Linked DNA regions of Stegostoma tigrinum. The protein of the gene in region 2 binds, or shares a complex with, the protein of the main gene of each other region. Links are inferred from orthologs where the notes say so. Each region holds a gene or a part of one and is shown on either strand. Other genes may lie near its edges. The genes, in order: cc2d2a, tmem67, tmem107l and ahi1.

Region 1 (7,578 bases), on a different chromosome or scaffold from region 2:
TCAACAAACAGCATAAGCTACAGCCTGATCCACTTTCTGGAATAATCGAGATCCAAACAGCAAATATTTTGTCACAAAATGCTCTTGCCTTTCTTCCTTTCAAAATTGATATTTCATTTCAGGTGTACTTCTTTATTGACTTAACCCAGTTCAGTTCCTCTGCATCCCCGTCCATCATAAAGCATTCATTTTTATATTATTTTTTGGCTTTAAAAAGCGAAAAATAAATCTTACCCTTGTTAGCTATATTTCTGTACATTAATTGAATTTATAGCTGATCCATTCAGTACCAATGTTTGAACTTACTATTTCTATCAATGTAACATTTTATATCATATGGTCCCCAGCCTAAGGCAATGTGATCAGAAGCAAAAGTGATTAATTTGTCTTCTTTGAACCATGCTAATACCATTTGTCTTGTCTAGTTTTGAATGAGGAGAATGTTATGTCTGTTTTCCTTTTACATGGCTCACTGTGTTACAGAAGCTGCAGCAACAGGAATACAGCAGATAAATGAGAACCTACAATATGTATATCCATGCTGAGCGAACATCCTAACAATTACACCATGAGTACTACATAAGCTACAGTGGCTCAAGAAGGCAATTTACTGCAACCTTTTCAAGAGATGAGTGATATTTCTGGCCTATCACATCATCTAAATGAATAGAAGTCCAATCCACCTAGGTAACACCATTATAAGTACTGTCAGATGGAATATTTGAAACCCTTGCACTCTACTACAATTAATCCCCATTGAGAAAATGACAGAGAAAATTTAAAGTAAAACTATTTCACTCACTCTGCAGAAGCCATTTTCTTTAATTAATTCAGTTACGAAATGCCTTTGATTTTCATACAGTCTTCGTTTACTGCACAAAAACTGGGTAAAGCCGAAATCCACTGATAGTATTTTACATGCATCCTGCAGTGAAGGTAATGGATTCCATTATGTAGCTTCTAGTGCCTGTTATAAAAGATGATGTAAATTAAGTCACACATACTGTATTAATATAATCAAATAAATATCTTACAGTGGACAACCTATCATTGAATATAAACAAAAATACATATTCATCAAGCACAGTAATATTGCAAAAAATTACTTTCTGCTAGAATTTTGCATTTATTATGCTGTACTCTGTTCTTGAAGTTGTGAAACTGCTTTAATGATCAATATTTTGCCATTCCAAACATAGCATTCTCAATATCAAAACAATAACAGAATTACTAGATTAATAGTAATCTATGTTCAATATTCAGCCAATTGAGGAATAAGACTATCAGAGGTTGAAAATTGAATTATTACCATACAAGTATTATAGGATCAATCTAAATTTTTCAAAGTTTACTGCAATACCATTCAAACTTGTAATCTTAAGAAATGATTTCTATCAGCAAATTCTATAAATCACACGGAATCAAAGCAGAATACCAGAGTAGAAATAGCCAAGTTTGCTGAAAGAAAGGAGAAATTTTGTCAAAGCTTTTTGAAATGTGCTCTTCAAGACTACCAAAAATAAAACAAACTTCAAATGGAACGCTAATTTACACTGCAAGAGAAACACGGTGCTTACAGGCTGGTTAGTGGACAGGTATTTTCTTACATAGGGGCATGCTCCCTATAGGCAGAAGGAATTTGTCAAGACTTTGAACCTTTTCCATGAAACAAAACTTTGGGTTTCACTATTCCTTATTGCATTCCTGATGATGCATAACAGCCAAAAATAATTTTGTTTTTTCTGAATTTATATGAAAGCTTTAGGGTAACTACTTCCCTGGTATATTCTCATGGTCAAAATCTGAACTAATCCGAGTTCACTTGCCAGCCAACTGGCACCCTGTTTCCTACGCAGTAAAAACTATTGTTTTCTTTGAAATTTGATGTTCTTGCGTACTGTCCTGATGAGTGCAAAATTAAAAGTTTCAACAGCATGTCTTTTTATTCATCAGTACTCAAGTTACCAACTACCGAACGATGACAGCCAGATCAACAGAATAGGTATTACAAACAAGCTCACTCTGGGAAAGTATGAGTCACTTATTTTGGGGTAAGTGTGTTTTTATATAAGTAGATGAAAAATATTGCAAATATACAAAAGATTTCAGAAGTTCAATAAGTTAGTATATTACTGGTTAAAAATTAAACTCGCAAGGAAGCTTAACCAGATGATGCAGGGTACTTGACAATCTAGAAGTATTGCTTTTAAATCTGGTGCACATTAAAGTTTAAAATGATCAGGATGAGAATGTTATAGAACACAGAACATTACAGCACAGTACAGGCCCTTCGGCCCTCGATGTTGTGCCGACCTGTCATACCGATCTCAAACCCATCTAACCGGCACTATTCCATGTACGTCTATATGCTTATCCAATGACGACTTAAATGTACCTAAAGTTGGCGAATGTTGAATTAGGAAGGAACACTTATACGTGTTAACAAACTTGAAGAAAATAAAACTAAGGCTTGACACAGAACTACAAAATAACAACGTGCATTTAGTTTAATAAAATAATCCAAGGTGCTGTGCACGAGCATGAGGTATTTCAAGGAAGATATCGGCACACGCAGCCTGAAAGCAAATGCAGGATGTAATATGGACAATGGGTACAGAAATAAGGACAGAATTAACCATCAAAGTTGAAGATTCGAAAGAAGACATATGCACGCAAACATGAAACAGTCAAAATCGGTAGCTCTACACTTTTTATCACAGTCAAAATAGGAACAGCTTCCCATAAAACAAAGGTGCTGCAACAATTGACACAATTTTTAAAAATCTGGATTTATGGAGGGAAAGCTCTAAAAAGAAGCCATGGTGAATCAGGATAGATCGCAATTCAATGAATGCACTTACATTGTACGTATTTCTGATTTACATTCTCCTCCAACAATGAGACCCTGGATCTGTAATGACGCCGCTGGCGTCCAGGAAACCACTCGCTTAGTAACCACTTATTAACCGGATTCGAGAGCCCCAGCGCGGAGCTGGCTCCTCGGGGCGGGCAGAAACACGGTGCCGGAGCCCCAGCGCGGAGCTGACGTCTCAAGGGGCGGGCAGAAACACGGAGCCGGGAGCCCCAGCGCGGAGCTGACGTCTCCGGGTTGTGCTCAAGAAGGGGGCCCGATATCTCCACTGCGGAGCTGGAACCTAAAAGCCCCACAGCGGAGCTGGGACTTGGAGAACGCGAATTTGCTGGAGTGGTTCCCTGTCAATCATGCAGCAATGTTAGATTAATTTTCGGCTACGGTGGCCTGGTTGGGGAAAAGGAAAATCTCAACTTCGTTTCCGGTTGCTTGTTTCACACACCAGTTCACTCTACCAGTTGTACGTACATTTTGAAAGAATTATACGGTCATATAAGTCGGCAACAAACTAATTTTGCAGTTTATGATATGAAAAATTATTATGAAAGTAATGGTTACATTTGAAAAGAATGAATGAGCTAAAGAGTGGAATGAAATTTAGTACAGGCTAGATTGAAATATTGGATAGAAATTGAACGTGTTGGTGGAAACTCAGCAGCTGTGGAGAGAGAAACAGAGTTACCGTTTTGCAACCCTTTGCTTCTTCAGCATCTTTATTTGGAAAGCATGTCATTGGGACTTGAAAGGTTATCTATTTTCCTCTACAGGAATCCTGTCAGACCTGCAGAGTTTCTCCAGTCCTTTCTGATTTTATTTTGGGTCTCCAGCATCCACAATATTTTGCTTTTGTATCGGGTGTGGCAAGGAGAAATAGCCAATGCACACTTTTTGCATTATGCTGCAAAAGTTGTGCCTGAAGCTGAAAGAGGCCCCAGAATTTTAGCCAATTTACGCTCAACATGTCCATCCTGAGCAAAAATCAAAGGTCATTTTTGAAATGCTTAGGATGTTGAACAGCACAGCATAAATGGTTGAACATATGCCAAAGGAAACTGTAATGTACATAAGTCTGATCTGCTGTGAGTTTTCATTGCTAAGCAACAAATGTTAATGTTAAGCATAGAAAGGGGTTTCTGAAAGATAATTTTTAAAATGTCATAAAATAATTTAGAGCTTTTAAAAGTAAAATTGTTTAAAATAAACAGTTGGGAAACAATGGATACAATTTCAAATTAGCAAAAAAAAACTTTAGGATCCACACACGGAATCCTTCTTCAGGCAGCATAGTTAATACTTAGAATGGACTTTCAAGCAGTTTATTGCAAATGTAAACTCTGGAATCACTGTTGAACCAACAGCATGCAAAATGGAATGATATAATAAAGCAAAGAATTGCAGATATTGGAAATCTGAAGCCAAAAATTTGCAGGTTTACCAGCATCAGTTAATTCTGAAGAGTCACTGGACCCAAAATGTTAACTCTGCTTTCTCTCCACAGATGCTGTCAAACCGGCAGAGTTCCTTCAGCAACTTCTGTTTCTGTTTCAGATTACCAGCATCCACAGTTCTTTGTTCTAGTCATGAAAAGATGCAATGGAAGACACCTGAAAACTTAGGTCAATTGACACATCATTAAATGCCTTTGACATAATTCCTCACATTTACTGTATGGTAGCTGAGTGTATCTACATCAGTAATAAGATGAGACTCATTTTTGCTCACATATTGGCTGGCTTTGGTGGTTCCCGCATTTTGTATTGTGCATTTTTGGCCAGCTATGATATCAGACATCTACCAAACAGACATGATTTTCTGGAGGAAACAACACGACCCTCCCTCTCTGGGATAGTAGGAACTGCTGGTGCTGGAGAATCTGAGATAACAAGGTGTAGAACTGGTTGAACACAGCAGCATTAGACAAGCAGGAAAGATGACGTTTCAGGTCTGGACCCTTCTTCAGAAATTTCTGAAGGACTGGAGAAACTCTACAGGCCTGACAGGATTCCTGGAGAGAAAAATAGATAACCTTTCACGTCCCATGACATGCTTTCCAAATAAAGATGCTGAAGAAGCCATGGGATGCACTCTGTTTCTCTCCCCACAGCTGCTGAGTTTCCACCAACATTTTCAATTTCTATCCAATATTTCAATCCAGCCTGTATTAAATTTCATTCCACTCTTTAGCTCATTCATACATTTCAAATGTAACCATTACTTGCGTGCTACCTTTTCATATCATAAACTGCAAAATCAGTTTGCATTCAGAATAGAATTGACTGTTAAGTATTTGAATGTTGACACAAGAGAACAAATTTGTTTCCATTTTTACATTGACATGTACCAAGTACATGATTCTCCTTATGACTTAAAAATATTGTTTCTCATAGGCTATGGTATGAGTCAAAGCAATCCACATACAGTCATGTGTGCTCAATTACTCAGTTAATGTTAAGTATTTAAATTTTTTGGTTGTGCCCTGCTTCAGACAAAACAGAAGTAACCTTTCCTTATGGTTATTGAGTATCTCAAAACAGGAAAGGTTCCTCTTTCCGGGATGCTTATGTCTCTAACACCTCATTTCCAAAATACTTTGGTATGTTTCATCATCAACATGTTAGATTATGATAATCCTCATAATTCCTTTGTTTTTGACGACACTGCCAAGTTTGAAAAGTGTTTAAAGCCAAGTAGGACTGTGCACACACATTTTGACTCAAGTATTAGAAACCACAAGTGCAAAATTGGACCAAAATTCCTGCTGTATCACTACATTCCCACAAATATGACACAACAAGACTTCTGCCCACGAAAATGTCCCAGTCCTGACTCCTTACCAAATCCTGGGGTTAGGCCCTATATAAATAATTTGTTTGACCAGTTTGCATCATTTACTCTTTTGGGTAATTCTCAAAAAACATCACAAAGTTTTTTTTTTAAACTGTTTCAATGTGTCAGAATTTTGCAACAATAACCCGTCTCTGGCTATCATTAAGGACACTATAAAGTTTTATGTTAAGCATGCCATTTTCCGGTATAATTCTGACATCTACATGTGATATAAATTAGGCTTTCTAACTCTGGTAGTGCACGTTCCTGGATGAGTCACAGAAACCCACAATTATTACAGCATAGAATGAGGCTGTTCATGCCTGCACTGATTCTCTTACCTTGTGTCAATCTCCTTTATCCCATATCCTTTGTCCCCGCTTTTTCCTCATATTCCTGCATACCATTTCTATCAACACAACTATTTAATGTCCTCTTGACGATATCAATTGAACCTGCCTCCATCACGTGCATTCCATACCCTAACTAATTGTTGTTAGAAAATGTTTCTTTTTCTCACATCACTATAGCCTCTTTTGTGTATCATTTTAAATCTATGACAGCAAGCTCTTTCACTTTTCAAGTGGGACAGCTTCTACCTGTCCATTCTAACCAGCCAACTCATAATTTTGAAAAATTACATCAAATTTCCTCCCAGACCTCTCTCTAAGGAGAACAGTCACAACTTCTTCAATTTACCCCAATGACAAAGGTTCACATCCCTGGAGCTAGGTTATGTTTCACAGCATGATCTTGGCTTCAAAATAAAATCCCGCTGTACCAGTAAAAGCAAAGTACTACCGAATTCCGGAACTGTGAAATAAAATCAAAAACTCTGGAGAAACTCAGCAGGTCCAGATGTTTCTGTGGAGAAAAACAAAGTGAGCATTTGAAGTTCAAAATGACAACAGCAGAAGTGAAGGGGTTTAAATTTTCAGTCGGATCTGTAACTCGGGTGGTGGCTGGGTTTGTTGGTTGGTTCACCCACATGACAGATTTCCATGCAACAGTTTTGCCTCTCTTCTAGGTGACATCATCAGTGTTGTCCGGTCTTCAGTGAAGCGCTGTTGTTCTGTTCCATTCTGAATTTATATAGCCTGGTCTGTTATGATGAGTAGTTCTGTTTCTGGTTTTGCTCCATAGTGGTATGTAGATGATGGTAGCAGTAGTTGAAAACCAGCCTTCCAGGAATTCTCGTGCTTGTCTTTGTTTCTCTTGTTCTGGTACTATTACGTTGTCCCAGTTAAATTGATGTCCTTCTTTGAATGAGTGAATGGAAACGAGGGGGAAATGTTCATGCCATTTTGCTGCCATTTGGTGTTTGTGTGCCCTGGTGATTTCTATTCATTCTGGCAAAGATGGACATTAGTTTAAATGGGACAAAGTAACAGTACTAGGACAAGCGAAACAAGGACAAGCACAAGAATTCCTGGGAGTCTGGTTTTCAACCCCTGGTACAATAAACAACCATGTTGCAATAGACTCTATTTACATAGTATGGAGTAAAACTGGAAACAGAACTCCTACCATAACAGACCGTATAAATTCAGAGCAGGACAGAACAACAACGCTTCAACAGAGACTAAACAGCACTGACAGTGTCACCCAGAAGGCGAACGAAACATTTGCATGGAAACAAGTCAGCTTAGTGGACCAACCAAAACTCCAACTGAAGGGGCCTGGAAAATTATGTTTTTTTTTATTTTGTTGATAAAGGGGGAAGAGGAACAAATGGAACAGACAGTGAGTGTGCAAATCTTTCAGTCTTATCTTGGAGGCTATGGGATAAAGCACAAAGATACGTTCACTGATTTAATTTGATTTATTGTAGTGACGTGTCCCTACGTGAAGTGAAAAGCTTTGTTTTGCAAGCAGTACAG
Region 2 (7,576 bases):
AGTCACTTTCCTTTTGACCTTTGGCTCTCTCATGCATAGAAGCGATACCAAGTTCAAACACCTCTTCTGAAGTAACCACCTTTAGCACAACTTCTCTTCCTCCAAGCTTTTTACCATATAATCGCTCAGCACTTAGTACTTCATCTTCAGACTTGAACTTGACCAGAGCCTCCCCTAGTCCAATGCCATTACTATCAACAAGTATTCGGATCCCATGTTCAGCAACACCAAATCCCTCAAAGAATTTATGGATCTCAGCTTTGGAGATATCAAATGGAAGATTACGAGCATAAATATACAATCTTGGGGAATGCGCTCCTTCTCTAGACGGGTACATTTTTTCTTCAATTCTATAGGCAGATTTTTCTCTTGATCTTTGCTTCTTAATAGTGTCCATCAACTCTATCATAGCTTTTTTAGTGAGCGGATATAGATAAACTGCACGGTTTGCAATGTATGTCTTATGGTATCTTAAAGCTTTACGCATCTCAGCATCATTTCTAAACTTGACAAAGCATTCCTTAGTATTTTTACCATGAGGATCTTCTACAAGGTAAATCTGGTCATCTGTTATGTTTAGTTCATTAAAGAAATTTCGTACATCTTTTTTTGAAATACTATATGGTGTATTTTTTAACTGCATCCAATAGTCTTGATCTTGAGGGGAATAAGATCGAGACCTGTGCCTTCGAGGTGACCTTGATCGAGTTTGAGAATGGAAATGTTTATTTTCACGATGAGGGGAACGACCTCGATTGTGTCGGTTTAGATCCAAATGTCTATCATCTACAAACAAATCAGATCCCCCAGAAATCCAGTCTAGTTCTGTAGCTCGATACACCTCGACAAACCTTTGCCCCATGTATTTTTTGTGACGCTTTAGTCCCTCAGCTGCATCCCAAGAACTGGCAAACCGTACAAAACACTCTCCATTATTCAGACCTCGGTAATCCTTTTGTAGACGAACTGCTTCCACTTGTAAACCATGGAAGAATTCTCTCACTTGCAGCTCTCCTGCAGAATATGGCATGCCTTGCAGATGCAAATAAACATCATCAGTATGAAAAGCTCCTTGCTCTCTCCTTTGATTATAAGCTGAATCAGCAAAACGATCCATTGACCCAGAGCCATTAAATTTATCCAAACTATCACTCATTGCTCCAGAGGTCATTCCAAATAATGCAGACATTGAGGAACTAGGAGCAACTGCAATGTTCTGTGGAGAAGATAAGGCCATTGTCGACATATTGCCACTCATCATTGGATCCATACGAGTACCATAGCTGTTCATGTCAGAACTTCCAATTTCACCAGGATGAAAGGCATCCCTATTAATTTCATGTTGCATTGCTGCAACTAAGTTTTCAGCTAGTGTAGAAGACATACTACCTAAGCCACCTGTGCCAGAATTGCTGAATCCCGACCTTCCGTAACTGGATGTTTCTCCACTGGGACGTGCATATCTCTTACGACTCATCTCAATAGTACTCTGCATTTCGTTTCTGCTACTTAATGTTAGCTTTGTTCTACTCCCTTTAAGAAATTCACCCGATCTCATCAAAGCAAGCCGTGCATCTTCATCTGTAGCAAATACAATGAATGCCTCTCCCAGTTCACCACCAATTATATGCACCCCTCCATCAGGAATGGTTAATCTAGAGAAGAAGTGACGAATATCCAAGGTTCCTGCAGAAACTGGGAGCCCCTGCAAGCGGATGACCACAGCCATGCTGAACTCTATCAATAGAAAATGTTACCTGCAGGCAAGAAAGGCACACAGGATGACGTCAAATTATGTCAAAAAAGGTTCTGGATACTGCATTAACTTCCAAATATAATATTAATAAAAGTCAGAAATGTTAATTTTAAGAATAAAACAGATTCTTCTTACTCTGCACAAATTTGTTTAAACGTTGACCTTCAATTCAAAAAGTATAACCAAATCTCAAAAGCTCCCAACTCTCAAACCACCAAAAACACTAAAGTTGTCTGTGAAAATTCTGAAGATATCTTCCAAGCCACAACAGTTCTCCACAAGATCTGATGATGACTGAAATTGTCTTTAATATGAAAAATGCCTCAATTTTAAATCAGCCACAGCACCTCAGTGGAATTCATCTCGAAATTACATGATAGATCTAAGTTCTAGTAATACTTCAAAACTGCTGTCCAAGTAAGTGCTGCTAATTAGTACTGTATCATTCCTTCTCCAAACAAGGAATGTAAAAAAGGACCTAGGGTTAAAGTTCAACTGAAGTTAGCTAAAAACAAAATACAGTCTATTTTGCAAACTGCAACCATGGCTCTTTATATAAAGAGTCCATCACATCTTTTCTCCCACATGGTAATCCACCCGTCAAATAACTTCACTCCAGGCTTGGACAATTCCTATTTATTGTATTCTCAAAAAAAATACAAACAAACCACCTCAAACTAGTAACTCAAATTTTCTTTTCCCTTCACGTATTGCTCTGAACTCTGCAAACGACTCCAGATATAAAGCAAATGCAAAATCCTAAAATCCACATTGGGGCATTTTCAAAATGTTGTAAATGACTCCAGGCAAACTGAAAAATCCACTACTGCACATAATTCAGCAGTCCACTTGAGAAAGAAGTTACTTGATCTAAAAATATGTTTCTTTCAGGTATATCACAACATTAATGTTTTCGCGAAGATCTCGGGTGCTGTAGACTTGATTCTGTAGCAACTCAAAGGCAGGTTCAGCTAACAATATAGCGTATGCATTTAATACAACTAGAATTCTTCTTTTTTTTCAAATCTTGATTCTTTTGAAGTGATAGTCCTTACGTTTATGTTTTTGTTCCATAAAGGAGATTGAAAGTGATTGTTCTGGAGTTGCACTTTGTATACACAGACTCTCACCATCTGTTCAGAACACAGATTCCTGGTCTAAATACTAGTTAAAACTATGGGCAATAGGAATAATGCACATAATTCGGTAATAAAGCAAAATTAAAGCAACAGTCGCAAAAAACCGAATATGCACTTTGAGAAGTTTAGATTACTCCAATGCGTTGGGCTAAACAGCAGTGAACAAATATAGCAACTCAACTATTGTAAAAATAGAAAGATCAGATTCAAAATTTTGTTGCCAACTGTCGTAATTCATTTACAAGCAGAAAAAAAATCTAATATGCTACACAGGACAAAGTTAAATACTAACTGTGCATTATAAAATATATCTATTAGTTCAATAAACACAGTTTTTTCTTAACTGCTGCTTCACAATGAGATGTAAACCTACACTAAAACACAGAAATTGTGATGCACAGGAAATGCAAGTGCTCTGCAGCTTGGTGTGCACATTAACAAATTTTAACCCATGCATGGCTACTTCAGAAATGATACATTTATTACAAGTTTATTTTCACTTTCCCTTTGGTTTGAAAGTCACTATTCGTTACTGAATCGTGACATTTGCAATAAAGAAACTCAAAAGTGTCAAATGGTTATGCGACAATAATAAAGGTTTATAGTTTATCCCAGTTAGACAATTTTCAGTCACCTACCATTTGTATGACACTAACCTGTAAAAAGGTTTCTTTTAAGCAGATGCTTGAACAGATTCGTTAAAATCAACTCTACAGACTGCAAAACAAAAGAACAAGATTAAACCTGTAATAAATCCATTTCAAATCAAAATAATGGTGGGTTTATCGAGTTATAAATTTCAAGCACCTGCCATTGAACAAACTTTATCTAATTAAAAACATTTCAATAAAGTTATTCCACACCGAAAATTCATTTCATTGACTTGTGAAAATTTTGCTATAACAAAAAAATCCATTTACAGCAGGCCACGACCTTGATTAGAGAGCATTACTTTCCCACTATAACAGAAATAGCAAGTGCTGAAAATTGATAAACGGCTTCAAGAATTAAATTCTTCTTTCCTAGAAACGATGATAAATCTAAAAATAATTCAATAATTCTGAGAAACCGGCCAGTGTTATCAAACAATGGTTAATGCCAAACAACTCAAGGCAAATGATCAAATGTCTGATGAATGATTAAGTCAAAGATTCAAGTTTTGATTAGCATTTTGAACAGCATGAAATGGTTGAGAGGCTCAGCAGGGAATTCAACAGCTTAGTGCCTGCAAATCAGTGGATTCAAATCAAGGAAGTGTATCAAAAACGCTTCAATGCTTTTCCAGATCAAAATGACGGGCTATATCCATGTCGATCATTAGTGATTAAGACAATTAAGACCGATATATAATACAGCCTTTTCCTTTGAAAAGCCGTTTCTGATTCAGAAATGCTTATTTGCCTCAGAAAACTACATTCAAAAATCACTATAGCGGGTTTGGTAATAGAGCCAAATAGACAAGCAGGGTGCTTGACAACGTTATCGGGAACTGTTCAAACTCATACCATACTGAATGAAATAAATCCGTTTCCCAAGCAGAATCGTTTAAAGTGTTTTGTTTCCCAACCCCACCCCCCAGTATTTTTAAGTCTTCGTTTGTTTAAATCGCAGGTCGTCGAGATAAAACGGTCAGACAATTCAGGTCAAAGGTGGAACAGGCGTAGGTAACCTCTGCAAGGATTCAATTTATTTAGTACGCAGCCCACTCCACGTGAACAAAAATGTTCGTGCGGGCGGGAGCTGCAAGCCAAAGGGAAAAAAACCGAAGCGGCAATAAGGTAAGTGGCTGGGCCTGCACTTTTACTACATCCACTCTCCAAACTCCCCCGCCCCAGTTCGGACTCGCTCCTCTCCAGCAAAGGCCCGGTTTTTCCACCCGACCCGGAGAAGGGAAAGACGCCCGCCGCCTCAGCATACGAACTGCTGCTTCCCAACACCCACCCCTTTGGAAAGACAGAAAAAGCCAGGTTAAAGGGAGGCAGTAGCCCGTCTACACCAACTAACCCGCCGCCGCCGTCGTCGCCTGGTCTCTTAGCCACCGACACGATGGCGCTTCCGCCGCCTCCGGAGAGAGAAGTCCTGACAGTTCTGTATCCAAATATAATAAATCAAAGCCCCATTGCTTGGGCAAACTCAAAGTCGATTGAGGTTCAGAACTCTACAGTATGGTTTGCCGATTTAAGTCTTGTTTTTATCTAGACCAGTGATCAAACGTTGTCTTTTTTTCCAGTGGAGTTATTTTGAAGCGGGGAGCTGTCAGGACCTGCTGCCTGCCCCGGTGTATTTTGGGAGAGCCGGAGGGCGGGCAGAAGAGACGGTTGGCTGTGGCAATGGGAATCGGGGAGGCGTTCCAGTGCTGGCTACTGCTGTTTCTCTTACAGCTACCGTTTACCCAGACCGTTATCCTTTCCATGCCTTTCCAAACCGCGAAACAATGCACCAAGCGAGAGTATTTTGACATTTCTCGTATGGTGTGCAGGCCGTGTGGCGCCGACCAGCAGTCAAGTAGCGATGGTGGGTAAAACTTGTCAGATGGTTTTTGAGGGCAGGGGTTGGTTGGTGTTTAGCGACAAGAAATAACTCCGCATGAAAAACGTTTGCTACGTAGCAGCAAGTAGGCTAGGCGGAGAACGATCGGTTTTTACTGGTTGAGGAGCCTACCCGACGACACAAAAAAATGACCGAAGGGAAAGGCCGTTCAGCCCGTCATGGGCATACTATCTCATTAATTAAGCACCATTATTTGACTCCAGTTGCCTACTTTTTCTCACCTGGATGTTTTGGAGATTAAATTAGGACACTAGCAAAAGATGGTACTCTTCCAAAAAAAAACGACAGTTGATCATTTTTAAATTTTGAGTTTGATGGTGTTAGATATCAGGTTGACAGCCGAGCACTCCGTCACGTATTTAACAAAGGTTTAGTAGTTAACTGCTCTTGTTGCTGCAATCTGACCTTGCATCCTCAGATCAGGTGGCCCAATATACACAGTGATCTTTTCCATTTTGGATGCAACTGCCAAATAGTAGGGCCTCCCAATGTTCCGGGGAGGGAGTGTGGGTTGGGCAGTGGTGTTAGCTGACATTTTCAGGTAGCCAGTTGTGGCAGCAATGATCAAATGTCCTTTCCCCGTCACGATTCCCTTTCCCCTCATATTACCCCACATGCCATTGATTTGTGACAATTTTCTATCCTTGCCTGGTTAGGGTCAAGTGGGAAAATGTTTGAGAAGCACTATCATCTCTAATGCTTAAACACTTCCCTCATATGTGTATTTAATTCGTTTAGCAATGTCACAATGAAGGTGTGCATATGAATGAATGCTTCTTTAGCCTCAAAAGGCAAAATGGCTGGTGTCTTCATTTGATTTTTCATAACTGTCTTGAGGTGCCCATTTATTTTTCTTCTGCACTGGAGTCATGCACTGAGACCATGAGATGTAGGAGCAGAATCACAGACTTGTTATAGTACAGAAGGAGGCCATTTAGCTCATCATGCATACACTGTTTCTATTACCTGTTGCCAATCCCTGCTTTATTCCCACATCCCTGTATACCATTTTTATGCAAGTAATCATACAATATCGTCTTAAACACCTCAATTGAACCTGCCTACAATGCATTTCCAGGTAGTTCATTCCATATGTAAACTATCTGATAAAATTTTCTCATGATCATTGCCTAGTTTGTGTATCACTTTAAATCTATGCCTTCTCATTCCTTTTTCTTTTACAAGTGGGAACAGCAACTCCCGACTTGCTCTATGCAGCCTACTCATGATTTTGAAAACCTCTAGCAATTTCCTCCAGCCACCTTCTCTCGAAGGAGAACACTTCAACTTCTTGAAATATGCCCTCGTCACTGAAGTCTCTCATTCCTGGAACCTTGTTTGTAAATCAGTTCTCAACTCTGCTTTCTCTGTGTGCCATAACTGTTCAGCTATGGTTGAACAAATGTTGTACAAGTTCAACATCACCTCCGTACATCTTGTATTCTGTGCCCCTGTTAATGAAGCCAAGAGGGCTGTATGTTTTATTAACTGCTCTCTTCACTTGTTCTGCCACCTTCAATGATCTGTGCACATAAACACTCAGGTCTTTCTGCTGCTATCTCTTTTAGAATTGTAAGCCCTCTTTCATGTTGTTGTTGTTGTTCAATGTTCTTCTGACCAAAGTGCATCACCTCAAACTTCTCTGTATTGAACATTGTTTGCCACGTATCTGACACTCTACAAATGTGTCATAGAAACATAGTAGATATAAGCAGGAGGAGGCCATTCAGCTCTTGAGCCTGCTGTGCCATTCTTCACAATCGTGGCTGATCATCCAACACAATAGTCTAATCCTGCTTTCTGCCTTTGATATCATTTGTTCCAAGTGCTATGTCTAGTCGCCTCTTGAATGCATTCAGTGTCTTGGCTCCAACTACTAGAATTTCCCTGGCTCACCATTCTTTGGGTGAAGAAATTTCTCCTCTTCTCTGCCCTAAATAGTTTTCCCTGAACCTTTATCCTGCAACCCTGGTTCTGGACACACCCACCATCGGGAACATCCTACATGCATCTAGCCTGCCCACTCCAGTTAGAATTTTATAAGTCTCTGAGATCACCACCCCCCCCCCCCCCCCCCCCCACCCCGCATTCATCTGAACTCTAGCAGAAACAATTCCAACCTAGTCAAGCT
Region 3 (6,910 bases), on a different chromosome or scaffold from region 2:
GGCACTGGAGGAGGCCCAGGATGGACATGTCGTCTAAGGAGTTGGGGGAGGTGTGGGGGGGGGGGGGGGGGGGGGGGGGGGGGTTGGTGAAATGGTTCACGACTGGGAGGTGTAGTTATTTGTTGTGAGCTGAGCATAAGTGTTCCACAAAGCAGTCCCCAAGCCTCCATTTGGTTTCCCCGATGTAGAGGCAGCCAATACGGGAACAGCAGATACAGTATATCACATTAAACAGATGTTCACCTGTTTCTGTTAATGTGTAAAGTCTTCTTAGGGCCTAGGATGGGCGAAGAGGGGGAGGTATAGCAGCAGGTGCAGCACTTGCTTTGGTTGCAGGGAAAAGTGCCGGGGGCGGTGGGGATGGAGGGGAGTGTGGAGCAGACAAGGGAATCACTGAGAGAGTGGTCCCTCCGGAAAGCACATCCTGGTGTGGAGGGAAAAATACCTTTGGTCGTAGAGTTAGATTGCAAATGGTGAAGATGTCGGAGGATGATGCGTTGGATTTGGAGGTTGTTGGGGTGGGACGTGACGACGAGGGGGATTATGTTTTGGCTATTATTGCGATGCGGGTATGAGAGATGAGTTGCAGGAAATGCGGGAGACACGGTCAAGAGCATTTTCAATCACTGTGGAGGGGAAGTTGCGGTTTTTGAAAAAAAGAGGACATCTGGAATGTTCAGGACTGAAATGTCTCATCTCAGGTGCAGATGTGGCAGAGGTGAACGAATTGGGAATAGGGGATGGCCTTTTTACAGGAAGGTGGATGAGAGGAGGAATATTCTAGGTAGTTGTGGGAGTCGGTAGGCTTAAAATGGATATCGATTTCCAGGTGGATGCCAGAGATGGAGATAGAGGTCCAGGATGGAGCGAGACGTGTCAGAGATTGTCCAGGTAAACTTAAGGTTGGGATGGAAGGTGTTAGTGAAGCAGATGAGCTATTCAAGCTCCTTGTGGGAACACGAGGTGGCACTGAAAGTCAATGTAACGGAGGAAGACATGGGGGATAGGGCCAGCGTAGCTTTGGAAGAGGGATTGTTCCACGTACCCTGCAAAGAGGCAGGCATAGCTTGGGCCCATGCGGGTACCCATGGCCACCCCCTTTGTCTGAAGGAAGTGGGAGGAATTAAAGAAGAAGCTGTCGAGGGTGAAGACGAGTTCGGATAAGCGGTTGAGGGCGTCAGCGGAGGGGCACTGATCAGGTGTGCAGAACAGGAAGAAGTGGAGGGCTTTTAGGCCATCAGCATGGGGAATGCAGGTGTGTAGGGACTGGATGTCCAGAGTAAAAATGAGGTATTGGGGACCAGGGAATTGGAAGTTCAGGAGGAGGTGAAGAGCATGGCTGGTGTCACAGACATAGGAGGGAGTTCCTGGACCAAGGGGGAGAAAATGGAATCCAGATAAGTGGAGATAAGTTTGGTTGTTTTTGATCCAAGTTTCTACCACTTAAACTGAACGCTAAATTCTGCCATATTATCAGGGCGATCACTGTTTCCTTGGGAAGTTTTACCCAAATCATTCATTATACACATTACCAGACTTAAAACAGCCTAATACCTGGTTAGATTCACAACATTTTATTCTAGGATACACCGTATGAATTTTTCCTCATTGTCACCCTCTGCTAATTTGATTTTCACAAACCAGAAGAAGATTAATTTACCCACAATTAGAGGGATCCCTAATTTATGAACATCCAACTTACAAACATTCATATTTTAAAAAAGTGACCCCATAAAGGGGTGTAATTTTAAAGATCTGACATATGGAGGGTTGTAAATTATCTGAAGTCACTCAGGGGATATAAAACAATTAACACTTGCAGTAATCCTTCAGCAACCATATCTCTGATGAAGGGTCTAGGCCCGAAATGTCAGCTTTTGTGCTCCTGAGATGCTGCTTGGCCTGCTTTATTATCTTGGATTCTCCAGCATCTGCAGTTCCCATTATCTCTGATAACATCGACCACTCTATTCACAGCTAACAGTATTGCAACAACCTTACTGCCTCCACTGCCCAAAATCCTCCAAAACCAAACTCCTAACTAACATGAACTACTCCTGACTTAACACATTCCTAACCAGCCCTGAGATTCATGGTACACCTTCAACCACCTGACACTCTAGCCCGTGTCCCATTAATATCCGGCCTGCTTCACCTATCTGCCACCCCACTCGTTCCAACTCATACAGTATCCTACCTTACTCATTTGACACCCTACCCCTCCTCTATCTGACATCCTATTCCCTCACCAACCTGGCCCCATCTCTTCTTCACTCATTCTTGAACACACTCATCACCTGTGAATCTACCTTGTCTCCCGCTAACCTTACTACGGCCGCCTACACCCATCCATTTATCTTATCTACCTTTTCTCCGCGATTTTTCAATGCAGCTTTCAGATATGTAAACAAACTAACTTACTAAGATACGATAGTTACTGCCACAAATAGGAGGCAGGTCTAGCTTCTACCGATGATCCGAGAGGCGGAGGGTTCACCTGGATCGAAGTTCTACTACGCATTGCGGAAGCGTTGGGCATGGGAAGTCAGAAACAGTAATACGGGCCGCGGACGCTGGACAGGATAGTCATTGGCAGAGGAAACACTCAATGCTGCTGCTGTTCTCGGAAGAGCCGAGCCTATCGCCGCTGGTGCCTTAAACAAAATGGCGGCAGGTTGCCAAGGTAACCGCGGCTCTTCACACCGCAAAGCCAAAACAGGAGCATAAATAACGACATCATCCTCATTTCCGAATCTCCCTATCCCGCTGGGCAGATCCCCAACACCCCATCTCACCGCCCAGATTCCCAATTCTCCTAATCCTCTGCCAAGTCTCTCTCCGCCTCCGCTTCAGAAACGACGGCCAGCGACTTAACTCTACGCGCTTGCGCACTGGGGTTTCTCCCGCTTTCTAGTCCGCGTGACTATGTTAGAGATAATGGGAACTGCAGATGCTGGAGAATTCCAAGATAATAAAATGTGAGGCTGGATGAACACAGCAGGCCAAGCAGCATCTCAGGAGCACAAAAGCTGACGTTTCGGGCCTAGACCCTTCATCAGAGAGGGGGATGGGGAGAGGGAACTGGAATAAATAGGGAGAGAGGGGGAGGCGGACCGAAGATGGAGAGTAAAGAAGATAGGTGGAGAGAGTATAGGTGGGGAGGTAGGGAGGGGATAGGTCAGTCCAGGGAAGACGGACAGGTCAAGGAGGTGGGATGAGGTTAGTAGGTAGCTGGGGGTGCGGCTTGGGGCTGGAGGAAGGGATGGGTGAGAGGAAGAACCGGTTAGGGAGGCAGATCCAGGGAAGACAGACAGGTCAAGGAGGTGGTTCCCTCTCCCCATCCCCCTCTCTGACGAAGGGTCTAGGCCCGAAACGTCAGCTTTTGTGCTCCTGAGATGCTGCTTGGCCTGCTGTGTTCATCCAGCCTCACATTTTATTATCTCACGTGACTAAGTTGTCTGCTTCGCTTTGCATTCTGGGAAGATACCCACGACATTGACTACTTCAATAATTGAGGCGGAATTGGCCAATACTTCTTGAGCTGTGGAATGACTGGAACTATACCGAAAAGTTAAGATAAACCCCTTAATTCCATTTGCTGTTGTGGAAGTTAACAAAATTTAGGATCGGAACTCGCACAGCGCATAACAGAGTCATAGATTCACCACAATTTTGGAACAAATTACTGCAGATGATGGCAACTGTACTGAAAACAAAAAAATGCGAAAAATCACAGTGGAACAAAACAGAAGTTGCTGGAAAAGCTCAGCAAGCCTGGCAGCATTGTGAAGGAAACATCAGAGTTAACGTTTCAGGTCTGGTGACCCTTCCTCAGAACTGAGCAAGCTCATGTTTAGAGTCTAGGTGAGTTTTCATCATAGCCTTGAAGAGTCATCTAGACTCAAAAAATAGCCTTGCTCTCTCCATGGATGTTGCGCAACACATTGTGAGTCCAGCATTTTTTTTTGTTTGCAGTCATTGATTCAACAGTTCTGAAGAAGGGTCAGCAGACTCGAAACATTGACTCTGTTTTCTTTCCACAGATGATGCCAGACCTGTTGAGTTTCTCCAGAAAATTCTGTTTTTGTCACAGATCCACTTTATTATTCCAGCATAAAATAAACCAATGGCCTCTCAAAGCATTTCACTTATTTCCATTACTATGCACATTATGTGTAGGCAAAGACATTCTTCCTTTTCAATTACTATTCCAAATCCTTAAAAACATTGATTAAACTTGCAGCCACATTCTCAGGCAGCTCATTCCAGATCCCAGTCACTCATTGCATGTAACAGTGTCTCCTCCTGAATGCAAAACCTCATTTGCCAAAATTGCCTTTAAACGTTGCCCTCAAGTTCTATATCTTTCCATCAATAGGATAATCTTCTCCCTGTCTACTTTGTCTAGATTCCCCCAGGAATTTGAATGCCTCTACCAAATCTTCGCTTAAACCTCTCCAAGAAAGAAAAGTCCAGACATCTCCAATCTCTCTCTATAATTGAAGAAGAACCCTTTAAATGATTCATGTGAAACTTTTGTGCACTTCCTCAAATGCCTTTACAGCCTAATGTATGACTCCCATAACTGACTTAGATAAAAGGGACAAAGTCATGGTTTCTAAATTTACTGATGGCACAAAGGTATACAGGAAAGTAAGTAAGTCGGGTATAGGAAGTAAGAAAGCTATGAAGGAATATAGATAGGTTAAGTGAGTGGGAAAATGTCTGGTAAGTGGCAGATAATGTGGGAAATGATTAATTTCAGCAGGAAGAATAAAAAAAAGTATATTAACTAAATTGTGAGAGATCACAGAGTCCTGAGCAACAAAGGGATATGAGTGCTCCAATACATAGGATCGTATAATCCCTACAGTGCAGAGGCAGGCCATCAAGTTCACAGGGACCCTTTGAAGAGAATCCCACCCAGACCCACACTCCCCCACCTCATCCTGGCAACCCTGCTTTTCCCAAGGCTAGTTCACTTAGCTTGCACATCCCTGGACGCTATGGGCAATTTAGCATGCCAATCCACCTAAACTACACAACTTTGGACTTCAGGAGGAAACTGAAGTACCTGGAGGAAGCTCATGTAGACATGGGGAAAATGTGCAAACTCAAATAGACAGTCACCCTAGGCAACTGATTATCATGATTAGCAAAAGGTTAGCACACAACTACAGCAAATAATTAGGAACACTCATAGAATGTTATTATTTATTCCAAGGAAAATTGAGTACAAAAGTAAAGAGGTTATTCTTCAGTTATACAAGACATTGGTGACATCTGGAGTTCTGTTTACATTATTAATCTCCCCATTTGAGGAAGGATATAAGTGTGTTCAAAGAGGTTCAGAGATTGCTTATCAGATTGATAGGTGGATTGAGTGAGTTGTCTCACAAGGAAAAGAGGGCAGTTGATTCTTCTATCCGATGGAGTTCAGAAGAGAGTAAGTTTAGACTTACTTGATTTAAATACAAGGCAATAGGAGAAGAAAGAATAAAGAAGCACAAAATCACTTTGGGTGGTTGGGTGTCAATATTATTGCAGTAAAAATAACACTTCGCAAATATGGTTTCAGAGATAGTAGGAACTGCCGACGCTGGAGAATCTGAGGTAACAAATTGTAGAGCTGGATGAACACAGCAGGTCAAGCAGCATCAGAGGAGCAGGAAAGCATGTTCTACTATTTTAATGTGATCTCTTTCTTCTGTAAAATCCTCTGTGTTGCTGATAGCCAAGCTTGAGGAGACTTACATACAATCACATGGAGTTACAACTAGAGCACTGAAGTGCTAATCTCCATTGCTTTATGAGAGCAACATGTGTAGTTTTGGAGTGTCACTCATTCTATTGGCCCTCTGTATCACTGCATAGATGATTGCTCCTTGCATACTGATGGTTGGTGCTGCAGCCCTCAAGTACTCCAGGATAAATTAAATTAGATGTTCTGGTTCTGAAAACGAGTAAGAGGTCATTGCAGCAAAGTTGCTGGGTATAGTTAACGAAGCATTTTGCACTGAAGTAGGAATCTGTGAACTATTAGGACTAAAGACATGTTTTGAGAAAGAATCTTCAACAATCTAGCCTTAGTACCTTTTGCGCTGGTATATTTTGAGGAAGAGCTTGCTCTGCAACAACCTCAACAAGATGTCTTTCTTTCTCACTCACACACTCTCTCGATCCCCCAATCAGAGTGTCTCTCACACACTCCACCTCTGTCACACACACATTTTCACTGATTCTCTCTCTCTTATAGCACATAGTCACAATCACACAGCCTCTTTCTTCAACACCCCTCACCAACTCACACACAGTCTCCTTTATTTTCACACTCTCTCACTCATGCAATATCTCTATTTTACTTACACACAACAACATGCTATCTTTCAAACACTCATGCTTTCTTTCCTGCTGCAAACCTCACTTTCACCCAGCTTACCACCTTTTGACTACCTCCATTAAGGGACTGGCATCTGCATAGGAAGAAGAGAACCTTATCTTCCTCCTGATTTGCTCCATAACCCAGAATATTTTTCCCTCACAACCACAATTTAGGCTAATATCCCCTCTCCTCCCCCTCAAACAGAAGTTGAATTGTCACTGCTCCCAGTTTGCAGTCATCAGGCTAGATTAAGCTACTAATGTTTGCCTAGCTCACTGTTTTCCCAATTAGAGGTCATTTTCTCTCCCAAATGCACGGCTGGTAGGCTCAATGCCAAACCCATCAGCATCAAATGGGGGAAAAGAAGCAGCCTCTGATTGAACAAGCATCTGCTTTCAGGTTCCTCTGCCTGTACTTCCTGCATATAGAACACCAATGGTTGGTTGATTAAGACCGTTTGGGCAGACTGTATTGTTGTCCATACATCTGCTGTTGAACAAGCCTATTCATTATCCTCCCCACAGTTTA
Region 4 (7,364 bases), on a different chromosome or scaffold from region 2:
AGTTAAGTATAGTTAAAGAGACTTGACGGGTTCAGATGCATTGATTTTTATAATGTCACAAACTGGTGCAAAAATTAATCAAGAAAGCTAAAGGAATGCTGGCCTTTATTGTCTTGAGGGGTACAGTAGAAGGATGTAGAAGTTATGTTGCAGTTATACAAACTCTGCTTAGGCCTCAGTTGGAGAGGTGTGAGTGGACCTGGGCATTACACTTTATGAAGGATATGTTGGCCTTGGAGGTAGTACAATGTAGGTTTACAAGAATGATACCTGGACGTCAGGAGTTTATTTACCAGGAATGATTATACAATTTATACCTGTCTTCTCCAGAATTTAGATGGTTAAGGGTTGATCTGATTGAAGTTTTCAAGCTATTAAACAGGAAAATACAGAGTAGATGTGCTGGATCGCGGCATGTGCCTAAGTGATTCTTTCAGATTCAGGTTAAGAGAAGGCTCAACAACAGCAATTTGCTTAAATACAAATGTTTATTAAATAATAAATTATTATAATAGTAGTAGTAAATGATTATAGCAGTGATAATAAATGGAAGCGAAGAAAAAAAGCAAAAAGTCTCAAGTTCCTCTGCCCTCTGGAGACCCCTCGATCAATGTCTGGTCTACAGGCTTAGGTTCATTCCTGGCACCATTTACGAAGCCGGTCTTATGTTAAGTCCATCAGCCATGGAACAAAACTTTCACACTCTCATACAGTATTACAAAACAATCAGGACAGAAAACAACAGATACAACAGACAAAACAGCTGGCTCATTCAGAAAACAAGTTTTTTTTAATTGTGCTGTCTGTGGCACTCATCCAAGGTCATGCAGCTTGTTGAATATCATCAACAATTTTAGTCTTTCAGCATATCCTATATAATCCACCCCAATGATATATGACAGCATATGTTAGAATTACAGATGCAGACACACATCAGCGACAGCCACACAAGAATGTACAATAAACACCTACACTAGAAGATTAAAGCTACAATGAAAATAACTAGCATCGATACAAAGAATAGAACGATGGGGTGTATCGTCAAATTGATCGCAGTTCCCTTTGGGGACCTACCTTAAAATATATACATGTAGAAACAATACACCAAGGGTTGTGTGCACGCGTACACGCGTACACACACACACACGATGTGCTGTCCAGTGGAAACAAGGGTTATGGGGATAAGGATACTGATTGTGGATGATCAGCCATGATCATAATGAATGGTGGTGCTGGCTCGAAGGGCCGAATGGCTACTCCAGCACCTATTGTCTATTGTCTAAAAGAACAACCAAGTGGTGCCACCTGGTTGAGGTGACCAGAATATCCTCTACATTCTTAGTTAGTTATTCTATTTACATAATTTGCTCTACAGTTCAGTATATTCCAGATTCAGGTTCTTCATTTGTGTTTTTTTTTCAATTTTCTATCCACAGACTCCTGCTTAACGTGTGTCTTCGCTTGTTGTTTTTTCCACATACACTAATTGCCCTAACATATTTCAATTTCCCCTACTGGTTTAGTCACAAGAACATCCCAACCAGACTCATCCACCTACCATTTCCCGGTGACTCTACATTTCCCCATGTCTAATCCACCTAATTTACACACCCCTGAACACTACAGGCAATTTAGCATGGCCAATCCACCTGACCTGCACGTCTTTGGACTGTGGGAGGAAACCCACACAGCTACAGGGAGAATGTCTGTGTGGAGTTGGCACAGTCACCTGAAGGTTGAGTCGAAAGTTAAAAGTTAAAAAGTTAAATTTTTACCAAACTTTACGAATCAAAATTTTGACTCAACATTGTGCAAATTTTGGCTTTACACAACCACTAATGGTTTCTTAAAAGGTCATTACATTAACCGTATATGCTCCACACAAATAAAGGCACCCAATGCACTTTCAAATCACCAGAGACTCCCAAAATGCTGACTCAACGTCAAATTATCTCCGGCTGTAAAGCTCCAGGAATCAAAAAGACACAAATTATGTGAGGCGACATTCAGCAACCAACGAAGGTGCATTCAAACTAGACCACGAAGAGTTAACACTTCTACAATGTTCAGTGCACAGTGCCCCAGTTATAACTGTCTCCCACACATTTGGGGGCCCTAAAAGGGAGCTGCACCGGTGCCAGACTGAATTGCTTCTAATAATGCAGTTCATGCCTCTTCTATATTCATAGTTTAGTTTTTATGGAAAATCTGGAAAAGGAGGAGCACAAGTGTTTGGTACGTAGAAATGGTAGGCAGGTTTGAAGCACATAAATTATGTGAGATGCAATCACCTTATTTCATAGCAGTAACATCAATTTGAAAAGAATCTGAAAGTTGAACTTGGACTGATTGCAAAGGACACAGATGTGTTACTTGACTGATCACATGAAGCAGCCAATCCAGATTGGAGGATTTGGGCTAATAAATATGTTAAGAGAATGGATATTTCTAAGCACATTTTGAACTGTTTCAGAATGGTATTAATGAGGTATGAGACTACTTTCCTTACTCTGTTTTTTTTTAGCACAGATATTTTGGGGGTGAAATGCTCTTCCACAGTAGCATTTAGCAATATTCATCCAGACTATGAGTTTTGCCAGATTTCACATGAGAATTGCTTGGCTTCCCCTAAGGAGAAACTGACAAACTTCACGGAAACCCAGGTTCAACAGACTAATCAGTGGCTGTTAAATAGATGCTGAAACCTTCAAAATGTATTCATCTATGTTGTACGGTCTTAAATCCATCACCTGGTTAACTGCGAAAGTTCCTGAAGAATAAGTAGCAAAGTGACCACTGCATTATTGCGATAGCAAGCATAAGCTGGCTTCTTGGTGTACAGCAGTGATTCCTCTAGGGAGGAGATGTAGACAGTCAATGCATATGATTTTTCAAATGTAAGATTTGTCAAAGCCATCATACCTGTTGGTGTCTGGTTTGAATGAGGAACTCACAGGTTCCTTCATACTTCTTTCCTTTTACCCTTACATCTGATGCAAGAGCTTCATTCTGCTGACCTGCCTGCTCTGTTCCTTCCGTTTTGTCAACTGCAGAGTGTGATTCCACCAGGACAGCAATCGGTAGGGAACCCCCTGGTTTTGCAACAAATGACAACACCTTCTGGTTTCCGATAACAAGGTGTAGAGCTGGATGAACACAGCAGGCCAAGCAGCATCAGAGGAGCAGGAAAACTGACATTTCAGGTCTACATCCTTCAGTCTCCAACCATTTTAACTCCCACTGCCAGGGTGACATGTCCATCCTGGGCCTCCTCCAGTGTCGCAATGACACCACCTGCAAACTGGAGGAGCAGTACCTCGTATTCTGCCTCGAGAGCCTACAGCCCATGGCCTAAATGTGGACTTAATCAATTTTAAAATCTCCCCAGACCTGCCTCATCCCATGACCAATGTTCCCACTCATCCCAGCCTCCATGACTTGACACAACCAGTCCATCTTCTCTCCCACATATCCATTCCTCCCACCTCACTGACCAATCCCTGCCACTGCCTGCTTACACTTACCTGTCACCATCCCCAACGCTCCTCTATTTATTTCTGAGCTCCTTTCACCCTCCCCCATTTCTGAAGAAGGGTCCTGACCCAAAAAGTTAGCTTTCCTGCTCCTCTAATGCTGCCTGGCCTGCTGTGTTCATCCAGCTCCACACTGTTGTCTCTGACTACAGCACGTGCAGTTCTTGCAGTCCTCTCAAAGGAGTCGCAGTGTAATCTATTTGGTGACAAAAGCAAAATAGAACAAGTGCTAGAAATCAGAAATTAAAGCAGAAACTTCTTAAAATACTCTAGTTCTGTGCAGCAAAAACATTCAATGGTTCCAGTGAATGTTTTATTATGAACATGCAATAAAACTTTTATTTACAAATACCATGCAGTTAAATCTACAGTCAGCAACCAACAATAAAACGATTAAAAAGCCAAATGTGGTAAACATTCATCATTCCTTACAACATCTGAAAAACTCATGCAACAAGAAACGGTGATGGAAAATAGAACAGTTCACAAACTGAAAGACACAACTAGAAAGGTTTGTTCCCATCCTCTATTGAAAGCAACATTTCCGGGTAGCAGTAAGACCAGTGAACTATTCAAGGAAAAAGTGCAGGATTTTAAAACTGTCATCAAAGACGCTTTAACAAGAATGTGGCCGCAAACTGAGACCTCCCCGAACTGGGGGGCTTTCCCAAATGAACTGACCCCTCGCTAACTCGGGCTTTACCCTAACCTGAGGTTTATTTCCCAGTTGGTTGAATGTGATTGCCTTTGGCGGCCGGTCCGGGCGCAACTTGAGCACGTGATTAGAGGAGGTGAGGCGAGATGATTGTGACGGAGCTGGTGCCGCGCCCCCTGGCAACAGTGGGAGGAGGAGTAGTGACGCTGGGAACGGACACCGCGGGCCGCTGATGCCGAACCGGTTGTAGCGTCACTTCCTACAGTCAGGTCAGTAACCGGCGATAACCCGCGTCTCCCCCATTGGTGCTTTCCGTCTCGGTGTAAGGCCGTCCTGCCGTTGCTAGGCCACGTCTCAAACAGTGGGGGTGAGTTTAATTTGGGGCCATTACGCCTCGCCTCTACCACCCCACTTCTCCGACCACTCCCGCACCATTTCACCCTCTAACCCCCATCTGCCCCCCTCTCTCCCTCCTATCTATCCCCCTTCCTCTGACACACTTGTTCTCCCTTGGATCACTGTCTGTGATCGTGTTCCCTCCCGGATCACTGCCTGGGATCTTGTTCTCCCTGGGATCATTCTCTGGCACCATGTTCTCTCCAGGATCACCGTTTGAGATTGTGTTCTCCTTGGGGTCACTCTCTAGTATCGTGTTTTCCCTGAGATTGCTATCTGGGATTGTGTTCTATCTGGGATCACTGAATTGTCCTGTTCTCCTTGAGATTGCTGTTTGCAGTCTTGTTCTGTCAGGGAACACTGGCAGGGATTGTGTTCACTCTGAGATTGTGTTCTCCCCAGGATCAATCTTTGGGATTGCGTTGTCCTTGGGATTTGTCTCTGGAATCTGTTTCTGGAATCATGTTCTCTCTGAGATTGTGTTCTTCACTGGGATCCTGTTCTCCCTGGGACCTGTTTCTGGAACGGTGCTCTCCGAGGGATCATTCTCTGAGATCTTGTTTTCCCTGAGACCACACTGTAGGATCTTGTTCTCTATGGGATCATGTTCTCTCCAGAATCGTCTGTCTGGGATCTTGTTCTCCCTGGATCACCTGTTGGATTTGTGTTCTGTCAGTGATTACTGTCTGGGATCATGGTCTTTCCAGGATCACTGTCTTCAGTCTTATTCCTAGACGTAATTCAGAAATTATTGTCTTCTGGAATTTTAAAGCAGTGGTAAAGAGATCTGTCAAAAATTAAGGAAGAACATAACTGGAGATGAACGAGACAAAGTCGACAATAAAAACTGGAACCTTCCCCAAACACCAATCAAGTAAGGGCTTCAGCGGACACATGTATAGTAACACCCAATCTTCAATCATACAAGTAGACCGAATTTGAAATCTATTTGTATGTATATTTCTCATTGTTTACGGGCACCATAGAGGGAATAAGTTCATGCTAATTTTTTTTAAAATTAGATTCCCTACGGTGTGGAAACAGGCCCTTTGGTCCAACAAGTCCACACCGCCCCTTGATATATCCCACCCAGACCCATCCCCCTATAACCCACACGCCCCTGAACACCATCGGCAATTTAGCATGGCCAATCCACCTGGCCTGCACATCTTTGGACTGTGGGAGGAAACCGGAGCACCTGGAGGAAACCCATGCAAACATAGGGAGAGCGTGCAAACTCCACACAGGCAGTTACCCGAGGTTGGAATCGAACTTGGGTCCCCTGGCACTGTGAGGCTGCAGTACTAAGCACTGAGCCACCAAGTCGAATTAGGAAAATCAGAATGGCTATTTTTATGGGATTAACTGAGAAATACCAGGGATATGTGAAAGGCAGGGCCAATACAACAAAGTAGTACAAGTATATAAAAATAGGATAAGGGCAGGAAAATAAATTAAACATCAGGGGAGTAACTTTGAGATGAAATAATTAATTTAGCAAGTAAATCAAAGTAAGTGTGTTTAAGCCATGGCTGCTTCGTTCAGTGAAGTGAAATGTGTCACCTTGGAAGTCCTGAACCCTACTACTGCCTTAGATGACCACGTGTGCAGCAAGTCTCCCAGCTGCAGAAACTCAAACTTAAGATTCAGAGCTTGAGTAATGGCTAGACATTGGTATGTTCTCAAGTGTGAGGGCTACATGGCTCACACATTTAGAGAGGTTGGCAAACTGCAGTTTACATGAATAACAGGAATGGACAACCACCAGACCGTCCAAGAGGAGAAGGCAGACAATCTCCTGGGGTACTGCCCACAAATCGGTTTTCTGTTTTGGAAACTGATGGGTGCTGGTCCTCAAGGAGATGTAGTCAGAGCCAAGCTTCTAGCACTGTATGTGGCTCAACTGTACATGAGTGGAGGAAGAAAACAGGAGTGATAATGAGAGACAATTTGTTATGTGTGGTAATAGATGGGCATTTCTATTGCTGTCAACGTGACTACAGGATGGTAAATTACCTCCTGATGCCAGGGTCAAAGATGTCACACAGCAGCTTCAGGGTATTATTCTGAGGGAGGGCGAACACCCGGAAGTTGTGGTCTGTGGTGCCAGTAACTTGGATAGGAAGGAGGATTGGCCCTTCAAACAAAATTTATGGAGCTGGGTCCTCAACTGCAGTTTTTTCTGGATTACTTTGATTACCCATATACGAGTGAATACAGAAAAAGGAGGATAATGCGTATGTGTAATTAGATAAATGGTGCAGGAAAGATGGCTTTAGATTCCCGGGACACAGGGACTTGCTGTGGAGGACATAGCAACTGTACAAGCTGGACTGATTGCAGCTGAGCAGATCTAGGACTGACTTCCTTGGGGGTGTTTTTCTGGTGCTTTTGGGAGAGCCTTAAACTAACTTGGCAGGGCTGTGAGTACCAAGGGAGCATAGTAGAAGAGAATACCAGGATTCATAGGGTACTAGTAGCACTAATACAGTGCATGCCAAATTAATCATGAATTTGGAATAAGGAAAAATGAAATGAAGTCCTAAACACGGTTAACATGAATATATCCAAGTACACAGGATAGAATACACGTGGTTTGGGTGGAAATATAATGAGGTGATAACTGAGACCTGGCTCAAGGAAGGGTAAGATAGAAAAAGAAAGAAAGGAGGGTAGAAGTATTTGTTAAGCAGGACATTGCAGTGATGGAAAAAGAGGATTTCTGAAAGGTTCAAGGACCCAGTCAATTTGGCTAGAGCTAAGGAGCTCAAGGTGTACAA

Evidence for each region.
Region 1: tmem67 (region 2) and cc2d2a share a complex: the UniProt entries of both Homo sapiens proteins name them as parts of the tectonic-like complex. The link is inferred for Stegostoma tigrinum from reciprocal best matches to the Homo sapiens genes TMEM67 and CC2D2A.
Region 3: tmem67 (region 2) and tmem107l share a complex: the UniProt entries of both Homo sapiens proteins name them as parts of the tectonic-like complex. The link is inferred for Stegostoma tigrinum from reciprocal best matches to the Homo sapiens genes TMEM67 and TMEM107.
Region 4: tmem67 (region 2) and ahi1 share a complex: the UniProt entries of both Homo sapiens proteins name them as parts of the tectonic-like complex. The link is inferred for Stegostoma tigrinum from reciprocal best matches to the Homo sapiens genes TMEM67 and AHI1.

Annotation. Positions count from the first base shown.
Region 1 is NC_081354.1:82,080,156-82,087,733, reverse strand, and holds the start of cc2d2a (coiled-coil and C2 domain-containing protein 2A), read right to left. Parts: upstream 3,012-7,578; 5' UTR 2,862-3,011; intron 968-2,861; 5' UTR 817-967; coding exon 803-816; intron 1-802. UniProt on the Homo sapiens protein: Component of the tectonic-like complex, a complex localized at the transition zone of primary cilia and acting as a barrier that prevents diffusion of transmembrane proteins between the cilia and plasma membranes.
Region 2 is NC_081358.1:90,652,759-90,660,334, forward strand, and holds the start of tmem67 (meckelin), read left to right. Parts: upstream 1-4,563; 5' UTR 4,564-4,673; intron 4,674-4,899; exon of another isoform or gene 4,900-5,125; 5' UTR 5,126-5,225; coding exon 5,226-5,409; intron 5,410-7,576. Other genes in the region: rbm12bb (RNA binding motif protein 12Bb), read right to left, coding at 1-1,729. UniProt on the Homo sapiens protein: Required for ciliary structure and function. Part of the tectonic-like complex which is required for tissue-specific ciliogenesis and may regulate ciliary membrane composition.
Region 3 is NC_081385.1:39,295,280-39,302,189, reverse strand, and holds the start of tmem107l (transmembrane protein 107 like), read right to left. Parts: upstream 3,022-6,910; 5' UTR 2,422-3,021; intron 1,798-2,421; exon of another isoform or gene 1,703-1,797; intron 1-1,702. UniProt on the Homo sapiens protein: Plays a role in cilia formation and embryonic patterning. Requires for normal Sonic hedgehog (Shh) signaling in the neural tube and acts in combination with GLI2 and GLI3 to pattern ventral and intermediate neuronal cell types.
Region 4 is NC_081357.1:43,904,906-43,912,269, reverse strand, and holds the start of ahi1 (jouberin), read left to right. Parts: upstream 1-4,354; 5' UTR 4,355-4,457; exon of another isoform or gene 4,458-4,555; intron 4,556-7,364. UniProt on the Homo sapiens protein: Involved in vesicle trafficking and required for ciliogenesis, formation of primary non-motile cilium, and recruitment of RAB8A to the basal body of primary cilium.